Linked DNA regions of Drosophila melanogaster. The protein of the gene in region 1 interacts with the protein of each later gene in a pairwise test. Each region holds a gene or a part of one and is shown on either strand. Other genes may lie near its edges.

Region 1 (8,282 bases):
CTACATTTTTATAAAGAAAGTCCGTATATACCAAATGTATATGTTAGAATGTTACTATTTTTTATACCCGTTATATAGGGTGTATATATTCTTGATCAGGATTAAACGATCTGTCCGTCTGAACGCCTGGATCTTAAGAACTTATAAAGTTAGAGAGTTGAGATTTGACATGCAGATTCCTAAGACGCCAAACAATTTTTGGCCACGCCCACTCAGGTTTAGCGGTTTTTTCCAATTGGTGAATATCTTGTTGATTGGAAAGCTGCCGCAGATTTCCATGTAGTTTTTCGAGTATAACATACATATGTACATTACATACATATGTACACATAATAGTCGCCTTCGCACACTTTTCTAGTGCGCTTCGTCACTATCGTCCACGGTAGTATATTAAGGGTACTTCAGGCACTACAAAAAATATCTTATTGCCTTCGATGTAAGAGATATATCGCAGAATGGTAATAATATCTACACTTGCAATATAGTTATTATCCATAGTCACAATAGGTCTTACCGCACTTACTACATAAATATGTACATACATATGTTGGTCGCCAAGGACTTTTACAGATTTTAATTTGTTTTGTAATATACAAGAAATAAAAATAAAATTTAAAAAAAAGCTCTTTTGTTTGCAAACAATAATCTGATTTTGTATTGATTACTTAAAAAAATTTTACGAACATTTACATATACATATTTAACCTATATTTCAAATAATTGGTATTAAATATACGCGTATATATATGGGGAACATACTAAAACTTTTAAAATTTTAATAAAATAATTAAAAAATTTAGAATTAAACTTCGATTTAGTGTTTTGTGTAAAGAGTTTCTTGACAGTCTCAAATATGTGCAAACTTGGAATTTGGTGTTTATTTTCTTGTATATTTAATATTTTTAATTTGATTTGATTTATAAGTAAAATAAATATTGTTTAATTATATTGAATAAAAAAATTGCGTTTAATTAAGCAAAAAACCTTTAATTTTTAGCTTTAAAGTCAAAAATTCAACTTATTTCACAGTGTGTAAACAGTTTCTTGACAAACTGTATATATTATTGCGTATATTTGTATGTATTTAATTGAACTATTCTAATATGTATAATATTTTAAAAAATGTTGTTAGTTTCAACGTTTGCATACATACTTTCAACCCGCTTTCAACCCATTCTACCGCTCCACTGCAGCGGTAATGTCAGATATACGTGCATATATATATGCAACATACATAATTATGTATGTATGTACAAAAATCGCAAAGCTGTCTGCGTATTTTGTTTTTGGCTTAAGTCATACCCATTTAAGTGGGTATAAAAAGGGTTCATGCCATTTTCGTCGCGCCCTTCTCTAGCCGAGATTCTTCTTTGATTCCCAATGTTTTGGAACAAGCCTGCCTGTATTCTAACCAGTTTCTTTGTTCGCCTTGCTCATGGCTTTAAACGGATCTCTCTCGTGCCTCTTTCGTGTCTCCGCTTTATCTCGGTTCTCTCGGCCACGTTTAGTCTAAGACACGTTTACAGCTTTGCTCCGCTCAATTCAGTCTCTATCTGAGCGTTGTCTTTGCGAGTTAGCCATTTGCAATCGTGCGGTCTTTTCAATGTGTCTGTAGCCGCCCCAATTACATATGTATTTCGTCTGTGGATATATGTACGATGTACATATGTATATAGGATGTACACATTTGTACATATAAATATATGAACAATGCCTATTTCTCCAGCTTTCGTTTACAGTAGTTTTGAGAAAGAAGTGTATCTGAGTGTTTACGTGAATATTGAGGGCACAAAACAAAATAGCAGAGCAAAGAAAAAATAGCTCGTTGTAAATTAGACATGGAGAACATACAATGCCTTTCAAAAAGTTATAAAAGTGACCAGAAGACCGCGGAGATTTCGTTGTCGCGCTTGTCATATTGCCCAACCGGTCAGGACTCTTTCTACTGAACATTCTATTGTTATTTTATATAAGTATCTATGTACAGATGTATGTATGTTGAAGCCGAATAAAAAATTAAGCATGGATTTGTATATAAATAAAAATGTTTACTGCATTCCCGACATATCAACAACACAATACATGTAAATGTATGTGTATGTACATGCATATGATCACATTTGCTACTAGAAAGCTCTTAGAGACCTCACCGCTTTCTATTTGAAAATACATTTACACAGTTACACAAAAAAGATATGTTTAATACGGCCATATAAAATACTGCCATCCACTGCGAAGTACATAGTACAATTTTGACTAAAACGATTCCTTTCTATGGCAGCTACGTATAACATAAAGTCAGCGATCCGCAAACAAGGTATACCGATGTATATATATTTTATACATGTATATTTTAAAATAAATAAATAAAAGCTGTGTAAATTTATTACCATAATGGTCATGTAAAAAAAACGAACCGAATAAATTATGTTTATTCCAATTTTTGTGCGGTTTGTTGTTTTGAACTTACACTGCCGCATAATTGAATAGGTTTGACTATTTTAAATTTTTTATAAAGAAAACAGTCCTCCTTGGAATAGCAAAGATTTGGTTCTGTAAATTTTGTTTTTATATTATATGTTTTTATATTATGTATGTTTTTATATTATTTATATTATATAAGAAGAAATCTCCATTGTTTTTGGCTCATCTGAATAGCTTTTACCCTTTTGACTTCTCTTTTTGTTGGACCGTGTGGTTGAAAAAGGTTGCATTCTTTTGTATTCTATTATTTAAGACATTCAATACCTGTTTATTTATAAAATGGCCGTGGAAAAGCTTTAACCGAGGTAAAGTAAAAGGCTATATGGATATGGAATCTGCGAAGAAAATAGGTCGAAGTCAAAGCAATTAGCAATTTTGATCGTAACTAAGCAGACTATATAAAAAATGAGTGGAGGGAAAAACATGCAACAACAGCATCGGAGGAAAGACTTATCATACGAACTTACCAAATTCCACTCATTCTGATGGTAAAATAAGGGAAGAATGCGAACTTAAAGAATTTGAAAAAAAAAACTCCATTATGATGCTCGAAAAAAAATCACGACTTCGATTTGCCCGAAAACACGGAGTGGAACAAGGAGTGGAAGACGGTAACCTTCTCCGACGAAAAGAAGTTCAACCTTGATGGACCTGATGGTTATAATTACTAATTTCACGATATCTTTTTATGGAACATGGTCCAGTTCCAGTTTGTCACCTCGAAGATGAACGCAAATGCGTACTAGGCTGTACCTTAAAAGGGTTTTCCAACGGTTTCTGAGATTTATGTTCATATTCAATTGACGTTCCATTATGACACTGATTTGAATCGTAAAACAGTGGATTAAGATTGCTTGAGTGGCCGCCTTGCTCCCCTCACATCAACACTATCAAACACATTTGGGGACCCTTGTTATGGAGAGTATAAATTAAAATAAAAAGTATTAAAAGTATTAAATTAAAATAAAAAAATAATATAAAAACAAAACTAACAGAACCAAAACTATTTTAAAAATGACGTTTTTTTTATACAACAACAACAACGACAATTTATTTCGCTTAAATCGTAGTCCACTTTAAGGAGCTGCAACGTTTCGAAAATTGGAAAAGGTCAAACCATAGACATTACAATAATTATTCGAAGTTCTAAATTAAATAAATTATTCTAGTGTCTTTCGTGAAACCTACTGTAAGCGGTACTGTATGTTTTCAAAGCCTCAAAAGCGTTTTTTGTCCCCAAAAGATTTAGCTTAAAGAAATTATAATTCAACTAGATGTATAAACAATTATAAAATACGTCATTTAAATTTTAGGTTAAAGTAGCAAAAAGGTCTGTTTTCGACCATATAAAGTATATATATATTCTTGGATCAACTCGGCTGAATATGACTTTCAATTCAACTTTCGGATATATATCTTTCTAGTTCTTTGTAAAACGTTATAATACTTCAAATTCAATTTATGTAACTATTTACACTGCACGAAATGCTTTTCAAATGCTGTTATGAAAGAAAAAGTGTGTTTGGAACGTTTTTTGTCTAAGCAACAGCAGATTAGAAAATATGATTAAAACAAATATATATCTTCTTAATTTCTGTTGGATTTCTTGAAAACGATTCGATCAATTTCAATTCCTAAATATTCAAATATTTAGAACACATTTCCGTAGAAAATTCGCGAAGGATAATTATTATAATTATTTAGCAACAAACACGATCACTATCCATTTTGAGCAATAGATTTTGTATGAGCGAATACACAAGTTGTTTCAGGCCCTTGCACACATTTTTATTACACTAAATTGCTCGATATAAAAAATTAATTCTATGACTTTTGAAAAACCCGCTACTTTACTGCATTAGCTTTTTAAGCTAGAGATACAATGACGGTAAACTAAACATTTGATAAGGCTCGTTCCAAAATATTACATTTTTTATAGTGTATTGTGAAGTCACAAAACACTAGACTCTTTTTACGCAATTATTAAAAACGAATTAAATAAAAAATGTCTTAAAATAGCGGGCGTGTCAAAAACATCTATACAAATCAAGGAAAAATATTCAAAAGTTTGGACGTTGAGCTGCTTGAAAGCTTTCGAGAGGGTTTATGATGCGGTTCGGAAACGCCTCATTTTACCTATTTCTAATCTATTTATATATTTTTTTTACTGTACAAGTATATTTATTTTTACGTTGATTGTTTTTAATCCCGAAAAATAAACTTAATTTAACTGGCTACAATTACATACAAATTCGAAACGAAGAATCGTAAATATATTCTTACATTTTGATTCGAATATCATAAAACAAGGCGATTTCCATTTCCTGCAATTGGGTTCAAGGTTCAAGCAGTAAGGGTATGTTAGTCTCGGTATTGTGGCTTTGTAAATTTTTTCCTCTTTTGGGCTTTATGCTTAAAAATGTGGGACGTTGCCAATTACTACTAGGGCCACAACAATACCGAAATATGTGAAAAAACTTTCAGAGGCTCTGTAGCGTGAACGAGTGAAAAAAGTCAATGAACCCATGCTGTATGGTACAATTGCCTCTTTTTTCATTGCTTTTTCCCAGCAACACAATACAAGAAATTATAACAGAAAGGACCATATATTTTTCAAAAACACAGTAACTAAAATCGTAAGATCTGTTTGAAGCCAAAATCCGAAATAGCCGATACTTATTACTTGTACTTAAGTAGAATGCAGAAAAAAGATTTTGCTTATGTTTTAAGTTATACCCTTGCCGTAAATATACATACATATGTATGTACATATATTGAAATTTCTATCAGTATGTCACCTTTTTTTTGCCACTTCCAAAACTCTCACTCCCACAATTTCGAAAAATGTGCTGATATTATCTTTTTTAATAATTCCTGTGCCAATTTCTGTGGATATGCCAAAGAATTTTTTAATTTCTCGTTCGCACACCAAATAGCTTAGTAACGAGTAACCCGCCTACATCGCTCTTTCTTGCTTAGTTTATAATACTCCATATGCATACATATATTCAACATAGACATAATATAAAATAAAAATAAAAGGCTCCCAAGCCTCGTTACTAAATATGTTAGGTGTACCCACACATGTACATACATATGTAGATGTGCATGTGATAATCACACCCCAGATGTGCAATTGTAGCAACCAAACAATTGCTTGGAAAAGTTGGTTTCGCATGAAAGGTAATCAGAGATTAGGTAGTGTTGTAAATAAAATAAAATCTCTACGTTTGTGATGCCATGAACTGTAAAATCCCTGCTGAGCATAAAAATTGCTAAACCCACAAACCGCTTAAAACTTTTCCGTTCACACTGTTGAAAAACGTATTTATTTTTGTATGCCCTTGCACAGGGTATTTTGATTTCAGTCAGAAGTTTGCAGCGCATGAATTAAAGTTTATATATTCTTGATCTATATGAGCTGCCTATCGGATGTAGACATGCTTATCTGTCCGTCCATTTCAACAGAAATTCGGTCTGAGTTTTAAAGCTATTCTCATGAAAGTTGTCCAAAAGTCTTCGAGCCGGTTCGGTCGACAAATATGTAATTAGCTGCCATTGGAACATTGATAATGAATTGATAATAAAAGAAAAGAATATTCGGAGAATGTTCACCTGATTTTTGACAGCATCAGATTTAATTTTTAATTTCATCAAAATGCATTTTATCATGCAGTTGCAAAGAAGCTGCCTAAAAAAAATCTTTTGCGTGACAGCACTTCGGCTTGATAAAAGATCCAAAAAACTCTGCAGCTCTTTTAGTTCTTGAGATTTGGACTCGGCTGGTCAAGATAACTTCTGAACATCTGGGGGTAGAGACTTGGTCAATATTTCGTCAAAAAAATTTACGCATGTTTCTCATCCACTAAGTACCATTGCGCACGTCCAGTTTTAAAAATATACAATTTAAAGATGTTGAAAACAGCACTGAGAAAACTAAAATCTCTGTTTAATTCCATTAATACTCTATTTTTATACGTTTTCTTTTAAAAAAAATGTATTCATACACAGTTACATTCAACCCTTTATTTTAAAACTTATAATTTCTGTATATAAGCATCGGCTTGCCGATGCTTACTCTCTTCCTTGTTAAATTTTCTTACTTTTCTATCCAATTTATATCGCTACTCCAAACGATTATATTTAAGAATGGTTTGCTTATAAAGGAAGTTTGTCTATGTTGTATCAATAAATAAACGCCGTGATAATGTGAAACAAAATATCTTATCACTGAGTAGTATCTTATCCGTATACACTGAGTTTCCATGTGGCTGAATCATTATTTACCTGCGTTCTTTAATCTCCAACTGCGCGTATACATACCACTGTGGACGAGAGTCCACGTCGTTATGAATCGCTTCAGGACAGTGTGCGAAGGGGAATTCTATACAAACATATTATTAAATTAAAACTGACAATTAATTAATTAATTAATTAAAAAGTTATATGGTTCAGGAGACATGGTAGTGAAAGTGTATTAAAAATAAATTTTAAATATTGGTGCTAATAGGTGCTTCTAGTTGTTAACATCACCCACAAAAACACTATTCCATTTTTTTCAAATACCAAAAATTTCCTACTCCCATATATTGTCATTGTATGCTGTTTCACTTTGTCTAAATAGAAAAAATTAAAAATTTTAAAGGTAATATTATTTTTCCTCTTTTGATGCATATTTTCAAAAACTTGTCTAAAGATTTCCTTTGAAATTGAAAACTGTAGAAAGCAGTTAAAATATTTTTAGGTCTTACTGTCGAATGTGTCACCGTCTTACCGTTTTATCTTTCCTCGGTAACGAGTCTACAATACCCTTTTACTCTACAAGTAAGTAAGAATGTATCGTTAGCTAGTTGCAAAGCGTACCTCAAGCGCATTGGTTGGTGCAGCGTTTTGATTCGAGTCTCTGCAGAGTCTGCTCGCATTTTCTTCGTCTTTTTTGGCATGCGACGGTTCTAGGGAGTTCCGGCTACCTTTAAGCTGTGCGTGCACACTTTTCACACACTAGTGTATGTTTTTATTAACATTTGAGAACTACAAAGACGTGTAGTGCTCCGCTCCCAGAATTTTAGCACTTCACGGCGTGTCGATAGTAAGTTAGATAACGCTTATCATTGCTTACCATACAACTTTGTAGTGTGTTTTCAAAATTCTGTGTTATTCGCATATATGTACATAGCTTGTGTTATTCAAGAACGCCAAGAGCTTGTGATCTAATACTCAGAAAGGTCGCTAAAACCATCAAAATATGAATAAATATGAATAACAATATCGATTAATCATTGGGTTAATTGCGACTTGTCTTTCGTGGTTATATCAAATTATATTAAATGGGGCGGAGCCGAACGTTCTGTTGGCACTAAGAGATTATAATCATGGATGGCCTTGTTATGCTTTACGATTACAAATATTGCAACCTATTTAATAATGCATTTTTTTTATTGCAGATGAGATGAAAACGCAATGATTAAATCAAATTTGCATTTGCCAATTAAATACGACAGCGGAAGTGCCGATAGTGCCAATTAGCATTATTGCCACGACGCCGATCTATGGTCACAATTTGTTCCTTGTCAGCTGCACTAAGTTGTAACATTGCTTATAGATTTCCTATCTATGAAATGGAGCATTTAGATCTTGCCGGCTATCTTGGCCACACGCCTCAAAGTTGGAATACCCTGGGAACCTTTCAGGATCAAGGTGAGTGTTGCGATATTGAGAGTGAAATATTAAAATTTATGAAGATTAAAAGAAGTGAAAGCGATGTGTTGAGTTATTACAAAAAAATAAACTAACTACAA
Region 2 (8,197 bases), on another chromosome or scaffold:
TAACGCCACCGTCAACGTCAGCATCGAAGGATATGGCCATGGAATCCGCCCGCAGAGCCACCCACATCACCAACACACCCTCTGCTGGCCATTTCATTAGGCGCATAATTTGTAATTAATAAAATTATTCAAAGGCGACCAAAGGATGCTAATCTGTAACTTAAAGCTGAAGAAAGACGTCAGAAAAAAAAAACGGAAAAATGCTTACTATTAAAGAAATGCACAAGTTCAGTTATATTATGAACACAAAAATTATATCATTATGAGCTTGAGTTTAAAGACTTTATTTTAATATTAATAATATTAAAACCGAAATGATTAACAAATTATTTAAATTTAGCCTTTGAGTTCTAGCTAACAAAATGATTTGATATTAATGTATAAATCTGCACAAGGTTTTGAAATATTGTACTATAACTAACTCAAAAAATATATAATTTGAAATATATAATATTAAAGTTTGAAATTTTAACAAAGGTTTCTAAATAGTAGATCAATATTTGAGTGATCAAAAAAAAAAAAAGAAAAAAATAAATATATTTGAAGATTATTACAATATAATAGAAAAAATGTGCCTAATTTCTAATTAATAACTTTTAACATTTTTTATAAATCGCTTATATAAAAAACCAATGTTTTGTAGATGAAGAGATACTTAAATTTCTTCCAGTGCATACGAAACAATGAATCCCAGATACAAAACTTTAGAGCCAGAGCGAGATGGCGGAGTGAGTATGTATGTGTGTGTGTGTGTGTGCATGGGTGTGTGGGTGTGGCATGCCATATATCTCCACCTCTTTTTCGTCCAGAGGACAAATCAAATGCAACAATAGAAGGCAATTTGCAGCAAAAAGGATACAAATAAATGCGAGTAGCTAACCGGAAAAAGAGAAAACAATTGCACTGCTACCAAATTGCCAAATGTTGTCTGCATTGATTTCCTTTCTACTGCAACATGTACATATATATCCGTGTATCCATATAGAAATATACACATATATAGGTATCTGCTCTGCAGCAGCGACAAACACCGAGCATCTCACACACACATATCCCTTTCGTGCGAGTGTGTGTGTGTGCATAAGGACGCCATTTTAAGCAAGAAATACTCTTGGAAATGCAAAGAGAGTCCGGATTTGGCCAGTAAGTTGAATATTAAATTTGGTAGCTTAGTTGGAATAATGTTACCACATTTACTGGCATTTAAAATTAAAGATTAGCTTAAATAGATATGGTGTAGTCAGGATAATAATATTATATTTAACAAAAGAACAGATTACCTAATGAACTATAAGAATCTACATACATACGTCAATGTTAGATCTTCCATTGTTAAAATGTAATTTAAATATATTAAACAATACTTCTTATAAACATATTAAATAATAATTTAAATAAACAAATAGGGCTATCTATTTATGAAATAAAAATAAATAAGAGTACTGAATTGCCGCTGAACTTTTCTCTCCTGACAATCTGTTCTTCTCACTTGCTCAAATTTTTCTCTTCGACTTGGGTCGTCAACTTCATGATTTATTAACAAATTTGCGAAGAACATTTATTTATTTGCCGTTTGTTGATAAACATGTGACTTTGTTTTCTTTTTGGTCTCCCTTACGCTCTACCGCCATCTCGCTCCCACCCTTTGTATTTCATTGCCCACTTTCTTTTCTGATTGTTTACGCGCTAATGACCTCATTATATATATAATGTAATTTGTTGTTGCCACACTGGGTTCCTTTTCTCTATTGTTTTTTTTTTCATCTTGTTTTGACATAATAAAGCGTTTTTGGCGCAATTTGTTGTATCTTTGTCTCTGTTTTTTTGTTTGTCGTCTGTCTGCCAGCTCGCTCCCTCTCTCTTACGCCCCCATATCGCCCACTCATTTTACGTGTGCATGTGTGCATGTGTGTGCGTGTGCTTTGTTAATTTTTAAGCATTGTTAATATAATATGGCGGTGACTTCTGTCACCGAACACGAACAGATGGAGGTGAATCTCTTTTTCAGGGGGATCACCCACTTTTCACTCCGCCGGAATTCGTAGCACACTTTTCAGGGCTTCCACATTTGGGAAAGGTGCTTAAATTAAGAGTTGGATAAACTAGCTGACAAGATTAATTAGGAAATCGAAAAAAAACAACAATTAGATGAAAACACTTGAAATTTTAAATGTAAGTTTATTTTTGTAAAAGTCGCATATGGCGTTATTTTGCATTAGCTAAGCATAAGCTCTGCGTTCAAATCTCAGTGAACTTACACATATCATACAATATGCAAGAATTGGCTAGTGGATACCTCTGAAGACAGTTAGGATCCATGGAGGTATACGTTGTAGTTGAGCCATTTCCCTCGATCCGGTTGACTAGAGATGTATGTGGATATTATGATTTCGAACCGATTTCGTGTAGGATATTGTGAATGAGTCGCGTGCCGCGTGTTACAATATATAAGAATAAATCTAGAAGCGTCTACAGATCTCGCTGTCCTCTACTTCTTGCGCTTCTCGACAGGCTTCAGGATTTGGAAGGAGCACATGAGTGTATTGTCCACGGACATCATGGCACCAGCATTGTCGAATTCACCGCAATAGTTGGGGGCGGAAAACAAAGTGACCAATTGGCGCTTGGCAAAGAACTCGTAACCATCCTCGACGACTTGATGGGCACGACAGATCAGATCCAGATCGTGCTTTTGGAGGAACTTGACCACAACTTCGGCGCCAAAGGTGAAACTAACGCCACGGTCGTTCTCGCCCCACCCAATGGTGTCCTTGTCCGGATCGGACCACAGCAGGTCACAGAGTAGTCCCTGATCGGGAACATCGGTGGGACGCATAATACGACGGATCTGCTCCATCGAGGTAAGATCCGGACTCAGTCCGCCGTGGCAGCAAAAGATCTTCTCATCCACAATGGCCACAACTGGCAGACAGTTGAAGCAGTCCGTGAATGTCTTCCACAACTTGATGGTATATCTGCGCTTGCACTCGTCGTAGAATCCATAGATTCTATTAATGCTGGCGCACTCGTGATTGCCGCGCAACAAAAAGAAGTTCTCCGAATACTTGATCTTGTACGCCAACAGCAGGCAGATGGTCTCCAGCGACTGCTTGCCCCTGTCCACGTAATCGCCCAAGAAAAGATAGTTAGCCTCCGGCGGATAGCCGCCGTACTCGAACAGACGCAACAGATCATAGTACTGGCCATGGATATCGCCGCAGATCTTGAGCGGCGCCTCCAGCTCTAAGAGTATGGGCTGTGCCAGCAGTATTTCGCGCGACTTGAGGCACAGGCCCCGTATCTCACCCTCCGACAGCTGGACATTCTTGCCAGGCCGTGCGCCACGCACCTCCAACAGACGGGAAATTATGCTCTCCAAATTGAGAACCTCCGCCATGGCCTCGGTCTTGGGGGCCGCGGCTGCGTTGTCCGGGCTGGATAGGACAATCGTCTGGGACGCCGTTGGGGCTGCTTGTCAGGGACTCACCCTGAGATCGCGGCTGTCTGGAGAATGGGACTGGATCCTCGGCGGAGCTGGTCTATTTGGGTCACAAACTTAGCTTCTTGGGTGCAGCAAAATGTATGTCCTGATGACGTGCACTTTTTGTGATGATTTGTGAATTTTTCGATTTACTCAATACCAGGTGCTCAATACCAGAACATAACCGAATGGAATTGCTTCTTCTCGATATGTGGCGGTGAATTGTTTAGCGTTCAGCTTTTTTTTTCTTTTGATTCTTTCACAAAATGCCTAATAAAAATGTAGGACAAATTCTCGCTTCTAGAAAAAGTGAAAAGAAAAAGGTTTGACAGCTTGATTAGCTATATCGATTGAAATCGATTACCCTACCTTCTCTAAGTTCCTTCTAGTGGTGTGCAAAGTCCAGCTGTTGTAATCTAAATTCTAGAATCTAGACATTTGACCTCTGCGTGCTGTACTAGCAGTCGTCTTTAGATCGTGTTTTTTTTTTTTCGATTTCGCTTCTCCGGAAGTTAATGAAAATTGAGGATCTGATCGGATACACATGTGCTGTTCACTAAAACGCACTTTAATACTCTACATTCGCGCTTTTGCGGTATCTTAAAAATTTTAAAAAAAATTTTGATTCCGGAACGGTGACCTTTATACTTTTCAAAGACTAAACGAATGACAAATCGACGACAGACAAGTCAGTGACTACATCGCATTGTTCCAGTTCGTGTTTCATGGAAATGTGATGGTATAGTGATTTCTCAGAAACTTTTACAATAGAAAATATATATATTATATAAACGCATTTATTTGTATTTTCTTCGCATGTTCTAGGTTTTAAACTAAAATAAACGATACCTTAACCATCCTTATAAGCTGTCTTACATCCCGCGTTTGCAGTACTAGAAAGGTATTATTTAAGTTGGTCACCCCTGGAAAAGTGTGCCGACCCTCGTCTGACCCTCGCCCATTTGTTCATATTATCTCTGATTGAGTGGAAAACTTGAAGTTGCCGAGTGCCATTTGCTGTGCACCCCGGTTTTGGTATATTGTATATGAGCTTATTTCGTCGGATTTCCCGGCTAGTGTGGCCACTAATTAGCTGCAATTTGTTGGCGCAACTTGAAAAATGGCAGTGTAAACAGGGTATTTTCCAGTGTCCCAATAATGAGGCAATAACCCCGCATTTTTCACATACATACCATATATATACCATATATATATGTACACATAAGTATATTACATAAATAGCGAGCTGTTCGAGCTGATTGAACTGCTTTGTCGGCTGTTGGCGAAGGGCTCCACTGTACAGTGTGTATCGTGTGCTGGCGCACCGCAAAGCAAACATTCAAACATTCAAACAGCAGCGGCATCGTTTATTTTGGGGAAACAAAGGACCTCATTTTCCCCCATTTGTTTGACCAGCAAGGCAGCAAGGACAACAAGGACAACAGGGACCAACAACAAGCGGCCAAGTTTTATAAATGGCTTGGCCATTGTTGTGCGCCCGCCGCTGTTTGTTGAAATTAATTGGTGTTACACAAATGAGTAATTTTCAATGTACATAAATATTTGCACAAATTGCAATTTGTGTTGTGCGGCGGGGGATTGTCGGTGAGAGGGGGAGTAAGGGGGCGCACTCACTTTCGAGTGCTGTTCAAATAGCCATTTTTATTGTCAAGCGCTAATAATTTCCACAATGAATAATATGAACGGCAAGCATCTGTTATTATTCCAAACAAATCAAAACAAGTGCAGTCGAAACGAAACCGTGTGGGAGTGGGAGTGGGCCAAGACTCTTGAGTGCTGAGCCCTGAGCTTCTGAGCCAGTGATATTCAGAGTCCTGCATCCTGGGCATCCCACCCTGCGCTGGCATCCTGGCCACACACAAATCTTCATAAATTGCAACGGCCGGGGCGACAGTTTTGGGAATTGAGACAAAGTGCGAGAAGTGCCTGTGTACAGGGGCGAAATGCGAAAAGGGGTCGCCAAATGGGAAAATGATACACTTTACTTTACTTATTTTTACACATACACACACACGCACATACGGAAAGGACACCCCGTCGCACACAGACACAATCAAGGAGCAACAAATTGCCGCATAAATGTGGGGTGGTTCGCCACCTAATAGATTTTATTTTATTTTTATATCCGCCAGACGCGCAGCCAGCGGCCAACTTTTTTCCTACTTGTCGTTGTTTTATTTATTTATTTTTTTTTTTTTTGGCAGGGGGTTGCGATTCATGGCCTTACTTACTTTTACTTTTCACATTTTTACCTTTTTACCTTCTTTTTTTTTTTTTTGCCTCCGCCTTTTCGATCACAAGTAGGTGTAGTGGTTGGATGAGGGGGAGGGGAGCGGGTGGTTGAAGGCAGCTAGATTTCACGGGAATTCCCAGGATATTCTGCGCTGTTCGAAGGAACAGCATCCCACATTCATTGTCTCTAACTAACATTGAAAATTTGCCATAAACTTAAGCATATTTATAGCAAGCAGTTCAAGTCACAGGGGCTTTTTTTATATTTATGAATTTATTGAAATTATCAAGAATATAATTTTTTATGCAATTAAAATATGACTTTTAAGTTTTTCACTATTGTAATGGAACTAGAACTGGAACTAAAACCACAACAAAATTAATAAAATGAGATGCATTTGTAAATATAAACAAATGACCTTTACATTTTTATAAACTCATTATAATGGCTGTTATTTCGAGAACAATTCAGTGTTTCCTTTACATTCGATAACGCAGATTGTCTTGTAATTTCCCATGCCTGTTTTTCCACCTCCTTTCAAGTGTATCGACTTTCCACAGACGACTCATAAACTTTGTCGAGCAACAAAAAACGTGGCAATACTCACGCATACACTGCAATAATTTGCAGGGTTAATGGCAACATATTGTCGCTGGCTCATCATGCGTGTGAGCGGAAATAATAGCAATGGAAAAGCGTGGAAAACCAGCAAGACCGCGGAGTTTTCCCGCCTCCGGCGACCACCTGCCAACGTTTTCCGCCCACCCCAGCTTTAATTTTTGCTCGTAATTTTTTACACATTGCGGTCCCAGCTTAACGGCTGCCCTCTGCCGTCTGTTTTCCGGCCCGCCCAACTGGGAGACACATCCAAGTGGGCGGTGAAAATTCCGCCCAGCCATACGCAACCACCCTTCTTCACGGCGATTGCGTTGCCTTCTTTCACATCACGCACACGGCGATGGAACAAGTGCAGCGGCTCAGGTGAGGAGGGAAAAGCGAAAAAGGGGGGTGGGAAAACACCGGGAGAAAATCTGCACTACGTTGTAATATATTGTGTAATATATATATATTATTAAAATTATATATGAGCGCTCAAAAAGGCATAGTTTTAGTATAGCCAAGGATTGGACAAGATTATATGAGGCGTCTTTTTAAATTGGGGTTTTATTAAGTTATCGATTATAATGATTGAATTGATTTGAATTTGTTTATTAGAACTATGAAGTTAGGAGATCAGATAATATATATTAAACAAAATGAAGTGCACTCGGTGTGCTTTTAGAAACCATCTCTAGACCAAAATTAATTGATTTCAGTGCCAGTTGTGGGCATTTTCTTGCAGTGCAGAGGGAAAGTGGCAATCACACGCTGCGTCGCCAGTCTGTGCAATAAAAACAACAACAAAAAGCACAACGACACGCTGCACACACACACAAACACACAGGCATAACACACAAGGACACGAGGGATTCCACGTACGCCCATGGGTGTGGGTGGCGGGGGGTGGTAATAGAAATTACATACAAAGTAGCAGGCGTGCGGGAAGTGGAGCGGAGGTGGCACAGGTTTCCTCAATTCACCCGTGTAATTCTCCCCTGTTTTTCCCTTTTTTTTTCGTCAGCCTGCACTTCCTCTCACCGCACCTCACCAAGGCCCCTTTCCCTTTCTTTTTTTTTTAGGCGGTGCGACATTAATATGTAGATGCATTAAGTACATTATCCGGGGTTACAACCTCCGGAAAGCAGCGAGCAGCAACCAGATCCGGAGTAGCGCACGCAGCCAGCATCCAGAACTTGCTGGTGCTACAAAGGTATGGTACAGTGGTTGGAAATATGTTATAAAGATGGGATATATATATCAGATATATTCTGTCTGCTATAAGAAGAAGTCTATGTATAAGACATACTTTAGATATATCCCTATATTTTGTATATATATTATAACCATATTTTAGTAAGCGAATGTAACTACACATTTGAATATCCATATGAGCATATGAAATATGAAATCTCCTTGATCCTTATAAAATATTCCACAAATTTCTTAAACTTTCAATTTTTATAACAAAACAGCACTTGTTGTTACTGAAGCATGTATTGATTTCGAAACAGCGAATTAACGCCCGAAAATCACTGATTCAGCCCACTGTGCGCAGTGGCATGGTCACGAGAAGGGGGCAAGGGAAATATTATGATTTATTTTTATTATGGCGGGTAAAGTGGTCTTTACAAGCATCAAACAGGGCCACGCCAATCGCCCACAGACGCGCCGAGTAAAAAGGCAGTTAGTTGGTTTAGGCCGAACAGGATGCGGAGAATAGGTGGGCGGAGGAGGACATCCAGGAGCAGGACGAGGAACGTCAGGACACCAGGAGCCGGGGTGTGCCGAGTGGCAGGAGGGTGGCGCACAAGTTGTTAAATGGACGGGTGGATTTGCACTTGCCGTGCTGACTGTTATCTTCA

Evidence for each region.
Region 2: the proteins of CG42748 (region 1) and Pp1-13C interact in a two-hybrid assay, tested with the Drosophila melanogaster proteins (one study listed by BioGRID).

The regions. Positions count from the first base shown.
Region 1 is NT_033779.5:22,132,791-22,141,072, forward strand, and holds the start of CG42748 (uncharacterized protein), read left to right. Parts: upstream 1-1,542; 5' UTR 1,543-2,317; intron 2,318-7,330; exon of another isoform or gene 7,331-7,573; intron 7,574-7,928; 5' UTR 7,929-8,033; coding exon 8,034-8,181; intron 8,182-8,282.
Region 2 is NC_004354.4:15,356,941-15,365,137, forward strand, and holds Pp1-13C (protein phosphatase 1 at 13C), read right to left. Parts: upstream 4,122-8,197; 5' UTR 3,851-4,121; intron 3,782-3,850; 5' UTR 3,398-3,781; coding exon 2,489-3,397; 3' UTR 2,161-2,488; downstream 1-2,160.